Linked DNA regions of Xenopus tropicalis. The protein of the gene in region 2 interacts with the protein of the main gene of each other region in a pairwise test. Links are inferred from orthologs where the notes say so. Each region holds a gene or a part of one and is shown on either strand. Other genes may lie near its edges.

Region 1 (4,592 bases), on a different chromosome or scaffold from region 2:
GAGTAACATCAGAGGTGTTAGTGAGCAACATGTTGCTCATAAACCAATGGTTGGGGATCACTGGGTTAGGGGGAAACAATAGTTTTCCTTGAAAAAAAAAAAGCCCATTTCAGCGCTAGGCTAGCTGCACTGGGAGGCCATGGGCAGCCATGTTGTGACACACATGTACATAATAAGCAAGTGCCACAACTCATTATGCGCGTGGCTGTGATGTAGGAGGATGAGTTGTATTAACCGCTCCCATGTCAGGCGCATGAGCATACTGAGCAAGCGGGGAAATTCTGTCAATATGCACATGTGTGCCAAACAACTTGGCCACCCGCACCGGGCGTTCCCTCCGGCGGCAGCTATTTTTTTCCTAGAAAAACTATATAGGGGAAACAGGGATTGTCTTTCCATATATTGCAATATATTAAAGTCAAAGAAGCCTTCAATGGCACCCGATCAAAATCTTCTAAGCCGCCCGATCGGCGAGTCAACCGATATCAGCAGCCTCCTGCGATAACGGTCGCCTCACCGACTTGCCATACATGCAACAAATATTGTACGAAACAAGGTTTCGTATGATATTAACGGTGTGTCTATGGCCAGCTCTAGATGTCACTGTGATCCTCACAGTATACACGGTCCCTTAGACCGATTCGGCAGCTAACCGGCTCGTGTATGGGCACTACCGACAGGCCTGCCCGACCGATATCTAGCCTGAAATCGCCCAGATATCGATCGGGCAAGTTAAAAAATCTAGTCGGAACGGGGACCGCATCGGCTCGTTGATGCGGTCCCCAGACCGACTTTGCCTAAACCCGTTGTTATAATTCGATCGTTTGGCCCCAGGGTAGGTGGCCCACCCGTAGGTGGGGGATATCGGGAGAAGATCCGCTCGCTCCACCCACAGAACTTACAATTGTATTTAATATTACACAGCACAGGGCACTACTTTCTGGGGATAGGGCAGTCTGTTATGACAGGGGCAAGTGATGAGTAGAAACTGGACCATTATTGCACATATTTGGACAGAACCAGGAACAGACAGCTTACCAGATAAAAGCTGAACAGGTACCATCCCTGTTGGACTCAACGCTGGGCCTCAAAATGAAATATTAATATAAAAAAAATTGAAAACCACTAAATTAAGATCAAGTATAAAAATTCTAATTGATTTTAGACAATTGTTAAGTTCTCCATTAAATTTTAGTGTAACATGCTGATAAGATACGTCTCCATTAAGTAAATAGTTTGGCAGCACCCTGTATGATACAGTTCTGCAGAACACATACAGGTGAGGAGTGCAAACGAGGCTGTTCCAGGGACCTCATAGGGAAGGACAGCAACTTGTAACAATAAAGTTACATATGAAAAAGAAAAAAATGGACTTGGGATCTATGGGCGGGGCCGCTCACCACTTGCCAACGACGGATTGGCTGCCTCTGCTGCCTGTCGGGGGATTGCATCATGCTGCCCGAGAGAGGAAAGATCCGAGTGATTTCGCAACAATCTATTGTGCGGTTCGGATGATCCACAGCCCCGAGTGTCCGGAGGAGGAGTAACCTACGGATCCCTAGTGAGGACAGGGGAAACAAGTCGTGGGGGAGGGATAGGCTTCCCTCCCCGGGCAGGAGGACCTCGAAGCCATCAGGTAAATTGTACTGTACCGGAGTAGAAACGTCTCAGAACGGCTGCCTTTTACCTGGCACCCTGCAGGTGTTCGGCTGTATTTCCCTTCAGCGCTCACAGTGTCTGGGTGGTAGGGCATACTGGCATTTGTACCTAGAGACACCACTTCAGACACTTCATGGCAGTCGCATAACTCAGAGGGGAAGAAGTTGTAATTAAAAGTTGGGGTTCAGCCTTTAGTTGGGATACCATCGGCCTCCAGCTGTGGCAGGGCTTTCCTTCTGATGGGGGTTATGGGATTTGTAGTTCTGTAACAGCCTGAGCGTTACCCTTCTAATGCAAGAAGCATACGTACATCGCAAAGCCTTAAGTGCTAACTGTTACCGGAGGGCTGGCAGGGAGATGCCGCCCTGGGAATTGACATAGTTTGTGAGTGGCTTTGCGCTGATCCACACTCAGCCCACTGTCGCATCCGACTATATCGCACATGCAACAGTTGTGCTCTAAACCTTGACTATTCCGTAGGTTTAAAGTAACAGCTTTCGGTGGGTGCTGCTGGCCATCCCCCCATGTTGTCCTCCTGAAAAGTCTGACCCAGACTATTCTGTATTGCATAGCTTTGCCTGTGCACATAGGAACAAACTCATTCCTTATATCAGATATTTCCTATTATATGTGCTTTATAGGTGTGTGATGCTTTTAGAGAGTGGGGAGAGCCCTGGCGGATACTGGTAGGAGTACAAACTGTGTAGAGGGAGAAGCCCCTGCCTTAATGTGCTTTGTATTGTATGATGGACCATTAGCCACTATTCAAAAACAAACCGAATACTCACTGAACACTGCAATAGTGTATTTACTGAGCCTGTTATGCCAGGTGGGAAACTACCAGTTGTAATGGACATTGTGACAGCCAGTGATGGTTATGGCAGACCCCAGATCCCAAACAATTTGGTTTATAGTTCATGTGCCTAGCTGGGTGTTGATAGAGGGGATTTGGCCTTGAAAAAAATGGTATTGCTTATTATAGGCTGTCTTGTCTATTCAGAGTTATTGTTTTTCAACGGATTAAGAGTTCTATGGTTGCTAAGCAGTATATGTAAGGGATATTTTTTTATAATAACACCTAACAATGATTACTTAAAAGATAACTATACCCCCGGGTGCAAAAAGCCCCCTTAACTATCATTGCCTAGACGCCCTCACCTCGCAGTTGAGGTGGATTTCCTGCTACCTGCAACTGCACATGAGCAAGCAGGTTCATATCAGCGGAGAGACTTTCTGTGTATCTAACTGGTAGTGTAGAATATTGTATAGTTTCAGGAACTGATTTAACTTGCCTGTCTGCCTGGAGGTGCAGCCACATTCAGTTCACTACTTTCCAATGTAATTGATGGGATCATTAGTCAACCCAGTGTTCTCTTTGACCAGTATACTATGGTGAGAATACACTTGTGACTGAAGTACTAAATTGCAAATTTGGCCTGACTGCTTACAGTCTGAATGACCAAGATGTCTGAATAATTGTGGGCATACATGTTAAGATCTGCTTATTTGGCGAGGTCAGCAGATGATCATATCTTCTGCCAATATGCCCACCAAAGGTGGGCAATATCAAGCTAAATCAATAATTTTACCCTAGGGCCAAATGAATGCAGCCCACAATCCAATGGGAAAATCAAGCCTGCCGATTGACCACTGGACAATTTTCGGGCAGATATCATTTAGGAGGTTTGTCGGGGTGGGGGGCATACGCATGCAGATAAGCTGCCGAATCAAGTCGGCAGCTTAAATCTGTCCCTGGGCACCTTTAGTTAGCTTGTGTGTCCAGTGGTTGCAGGTTAACTTAGCTGCCTTAGAACAAGGAGAATCAGGATATGATGGTGACTTAACGCTTCAGTTAGTAAAAACAGTAATGGGCAGTCAATTATCAAGCCAATAATATTTAAAGTAAATGCTGTATATTCATTTACAGATAATCTTTAAGTTGTTTGTATGTTCACCCTGTGCTTGTGTAGGTTTCCTCCCAAGAATGACAATTCTACAAGCATTAAATAGTATAAAACCGGTAGGGAATTGAATAGAAAGACACTTAGCAAGCCCCCCATGAGATGAAGATCAGAGGCCAAGGTTGTGCCCGTAGCTTTCTTGTTGATATCTATAGTTTACCCTGTGTAGTGAGTTACATTGAATTCTAAACTTGGATTTGCTAGCAAGTTGATGGTGGCATGTACTGTGCAAGTGTGATCATGTTTAGCTGAATGCTGGGTGTCTCACTTACCTCATACAGAAAGTAAAACTATTCCAGAATAACCCATGACTGTTTCAGAGTTTCCATACTGCACTTTGTGCTTAGTATGACTCAGGATTTCAGGGCAAATGCTTAGTAGCGGAGAAAATTGTGCCATTCTGGCAGCAGCATTAGAAATGCCACAAACCTCACTGGATTCTAACTGATTCCTGAACTGACAGGGTTTCTGCTCCAGTCTTACATGTCGCATCATTCTCAGGAACTGTTAGTAAGGTGTGTGTTCCGCAAGCGTGTGCAGCCACACGTATTTAGTCACGTAGCTGTGAGCCACATTTCATTATATAAGTATCTTAAAGTGATACCGACACTAAAAAACTACTTTTCAAAATATTATTGTACCTAAAAAGTTACCTATAGGTCATGTTGATAATTTTTCACAGATAGGGCTGCTTTTTGTTACTTGAAGTTCCTAAACCTGACTGTTTAATCAACCTGACTGTCCCTTCTCAACCTGTTGGTTAAAGCTTATAATGCTAACAGACTACTGGAGTACAGATATGGCAGCCTCCTCATAGAGGAACATGGGGGATCAGATAGGTAATATAAAAGCACTGGGCAAATACTTTTAAGGCAAAATTATAAATAGCATGGAATGACAATGATAGATGTTAAAAAAGGTTTAATTTTTGGTGTCCGTATCTCTTTAACTAAACAGCATGGGTTGAGTCAG
Region 2 (3,519 bases):
CAGTCACAGCAAACTGAGCCACAGTGACATCACTTCCAGTTTTTGGCCCCCACACATTGGCTGTGTCCATGGCTGGATTTTATGTTTAGCTTGTAACACAGCTACAGTTTGAAAAAGCAGTCATTTTCACTCCTTTGTAGAAATAGATGTAATATTCATTAGATGTAATATGTAGCTGAAGAAGAATTGCACACATTTGAGAAGTCATACTTAATGAAAAATCTTATTTTAAAATCAGAAAGCAATAAGAAATTGCACTGTTGTGCTTTCCAAGGATGCTAGAACAACTTTGGCGTATAATGAATTAAAGGTGGTCATACATGGGTCAATAAAAGCTGGCGATGGTCAGCAGTTATCAGCCCATATATGGGGCCCTCAGACAGACCTACCCAACAGATATCAGGCCAAAAATTGGCCATGTGTCCTGATGGCCTCCAACCCATGTGAGCAAATATATCCCCCCAGTGACACTGCTTGGACTTTGAAGCAGATTTGTATCAATAAGGACCAGATCTTAAATAGTACATAAAAACCAAAATACATGCAATATTAGTTTTATTAAAATACTTGATTAATATCAGGGGATAGCTAAATGGACATGGTGTAAATTGTTTTGGAAACAGACACCGTGCAGATTAACCATGCAATATACAGAGCGCAATGCATTCCAGACTAGATAAAGGACTAACCTGTAACTCCTTACATCAGTATTTACAGAGTACCTGCTGAAAGTCACAGCAGTTCTACAAAGTTTACTTTCCTAAAATAAAAGTATAGTTCTCATAGCAAGTAATTGCTGATTTATTTTGAGTCTTAGTCTTTTTTAAGGTTCACCATCCGGTCTATTAAAGCCTTCCTAGTCTGCTCCACTTCCTTACTTAGGCGTTCAATCTCTCCCTTTAGTCGTTCATTTTCTGCTAACAAATGGGACACTTTCTTTTCATTCTCCTCTTCCTTTTCTTTCACACGTACTTTTCCTCCTCGTGACTGACTGCTTCTCTTTCTTTTTGATGGTGGCTGGCTGGCAAAAGATTCCTCATCCTCTGTGTGGGTATGTACTGAAGAGCTACTGCAGTAATCGAGCTCAGGCACGTCCGACTGCGGAGTATCATCACTTACTGGGGAACCAGAGAGCTTACAGTTGTCTTGTATTTCTGAGTTTATTAGTTCCAAGACAGCAGAAGGCAGCTGTTGTACAGCAGCTTCTAAAGCATCAGTATCCTCATTGTCCATAACCAAAGGTGACTCAATAGTCCACAAGTAAGGAGATTGGTCCACAGTTTCCATTTGCTGTAAGTCCTAAAAAAAAGAAAAAAAAATTAGGCATTGTAGGCCAGAAAATACCTGTAAATTAAGCAATTAGGGCATTTTGCTTAGAACTCTTCCCACCACATGCTGCCAGTGTGACAGATCAAACAGAACCCCCAAGGTTCTAACCACTAACCTTGCTGAAAGATGGCAACAGCATGCTTTACATAAAAGTACCTAAGCTGAGGAGCGTTGAGGAGAGGTGATGAGCTTTGGTGCAGGGAACGTCAGTACAATCTTGTTCCAATGGGTGTAGTAGTACTTTTTCCAGAGAGTTCTGTACTATTCATGAGGTCAGCTACAAATAGTGAAGCCTGGACCAATATGGTGGTCATGCCCAGGCTGCCCCTGGCTTCAAGGCTGAATGGCCACAGGCCTCCTTAACACCTCAGCTCTACTTTGTTAGAATTTGCTTTCAAAGAGCCAATGTCATGCTGGGATTTGATTTGGGTGAGGCTTGCTTAACAGGCCCTAATAGAACAATTGTTAAAGAATCCCCATCTGCCCTGCTAATGTATAGCAATGCCAACCTAAAACTTAAAATGCTGTTTAGTTGTGATCCCAAAACCCAGACAGCAGATTTGCGGACATCAGACATTGATGTTTTTCCCTCAGTCTAATGCTAGATAGCCAACCAACAAAATGAGAGCAAACAAATTAGTTGGTCACTTATAAAACCACCAACCTGCTCTTCTGAAACAGGGAGCAAATTCCCAGTGTCCTTTGTGTCGGCCCACAAGATGTCTTGAAGATCTTCATACCAACATTCCAGCTCCCACCCAGACAAAGTGGCCATGGGGCCACAGAATGGCAGAGACTCTGCCATCATTTTGTATGGCAATCTTGCTCAGAAGACTGTTTCTGTAAAAAGGGAAAATAAATCAAAATATGTAAAAATGCAGACAGTGCCACGTGCCTTACCTGCAAGCTGAGTGGGGGGGGGGGCGCACTGCTAGGCGATCAGTCACCCAAAAAGTTAGGGTACACTGAAATAGAAGAGCTGGTCTATGGAAGCAAAGACTGGGCTGTGCACTGCATACGAGGACTCCTTACCTAGAGATGTAGGAAAACCAAGTATGTGCAGATGGCATAGGCTTCCAACCAATCCAAGACTTATATGTCATTTTATGAAAGCATTCAATGAATCCAAAGGTTTAGAAATGCCTGTAGCACTTTAGGGGTTTAGTTATGATAAGAGGCTTCCATCAGCCTAGTGGTCCTATAGAAAGGCAACTACATGCTGTATATGTTCACAACTACAGTTTAGCCAAAGGCTTAGATTTCAGTGTCTTACCTCAGGTATGGTGATGTATAAAGATTGTCTTTCTTCTCCAACACTATTAAAAAGAAAAGCGTGATTAGCTTTTTTTTTTTGTAAAAAAAAAAAAAAAAAAAAAGTTTATAGCAAGGCTACCATATACATTATATATAGATACAACAGTTCAGGCTACTCGATACAAAAACAGAAGTCAAATACAAAAAAAATTGCTTCAGTGGTGCTTAACACTATTATTACTAATTATTAGGAAACCGTTTGAGCCAGAAAAATCCATATGCATTTATTATAGAAGAGGGCACATTTTATGATCTGGGTCTATATGTCAGGATTAATTCTCTTTCCCAGAGGTTTGGAGTTGTGTAATGGATAACGAACCCTACCCACAGTGAGGGCCTAAACCCTCTTTAAATATGTATTCATTTGTCTGTCTTTTAGGGGTGGTAGATGAATTGGTTACCTGGAACCACACAAGGAATTGAGATCAGTCATCTTCTGTGCTCCAAAAATCCCATATATAATTAAATGGACCCACCCGCACTGGCAGAATGGATTGCATTAATAAAAAACTCCCTTTAAATCAAGCAGACATACATAGCAAGAACTCCCTGCAGAAATCTGAGGCAATATGGTCCCCATGGCTAAATGCCATTGCCCTATTAGACCTGCCCAGTAACTTATTTCAACCAAATAAACAGAGCTTAATCTGAAAGGTTGTCTTTTTCTATTATTGATACAATGACGGATTATTGAATAAAATGACCGCTTGCCATGGTACAAAAGATATCGGGTGATTATTTGGGGTCCACACATGGACTGAAAATCATACAAAATGTAGTACTGGTTTGGCCAGCTTAAGTCTTAGTGAGATCTTAAGCAATAAGGAGGCAATGTAATCAAAATGGCAACTAGATCTAGTAACCCATAGCAACCAA

Evidence for each region. The genes of interacting proteins can lie anywhere in the genome.
Region 1: the proteins of ddit3 (region 2) and cebpg interact in binary tests that used the Homo sapiens proteins (3 or more experiments, as listed by UniProt). The link is inferred for Xenopus tropicalis from reciprocal best matches to the Homo sapiens genes DDIT3 and CEBPG.

What each region holds. Positions count from the first base shown.
Region 1 is NC_030680.2:115,638,013-115,642,604, reverse strand, and holds the start of cebpg (CCAAT/enhancer-binding protein gamma), read left to right. Parts: upstream 1-1,513; 5' UTR 1,514-1,636; intron 1,637-4,592. UniProt on the Homo sapiens protein: Transcription factor that binds to the promoter and the enhancer regions of target genes. Binds to the enhancer element PRE-I (positive regulatory element-I) of the IL-4 gene. Binds to the promoter and the enhancer of the immunoglobulin heavy chain.
Region 2 is NC_030678.2:140,580,862-140,584,380, forward strand, and holds the end of ddit3 (DNA damage-inducible transcript 3 protein), read right to left. Parts: intron 2,646-3,519; 5' UTR 2,603-2,645; intron 2,170-2,602; 5' UTR 2,138-2,169; coding exon 1,994-2,137; intron 1,300-1,993; coding exon 814-1,299; 3' UTR 539-813; downstream 1-538. UniProt on the Homo sapiens protein: Multifunctional transcription factor in endoplasmic reticulum (ER) stress response. Plays an essential role in the response to a wide variety of cell stresses and induces cell cycle arrest and apoptosis in response to ER stress.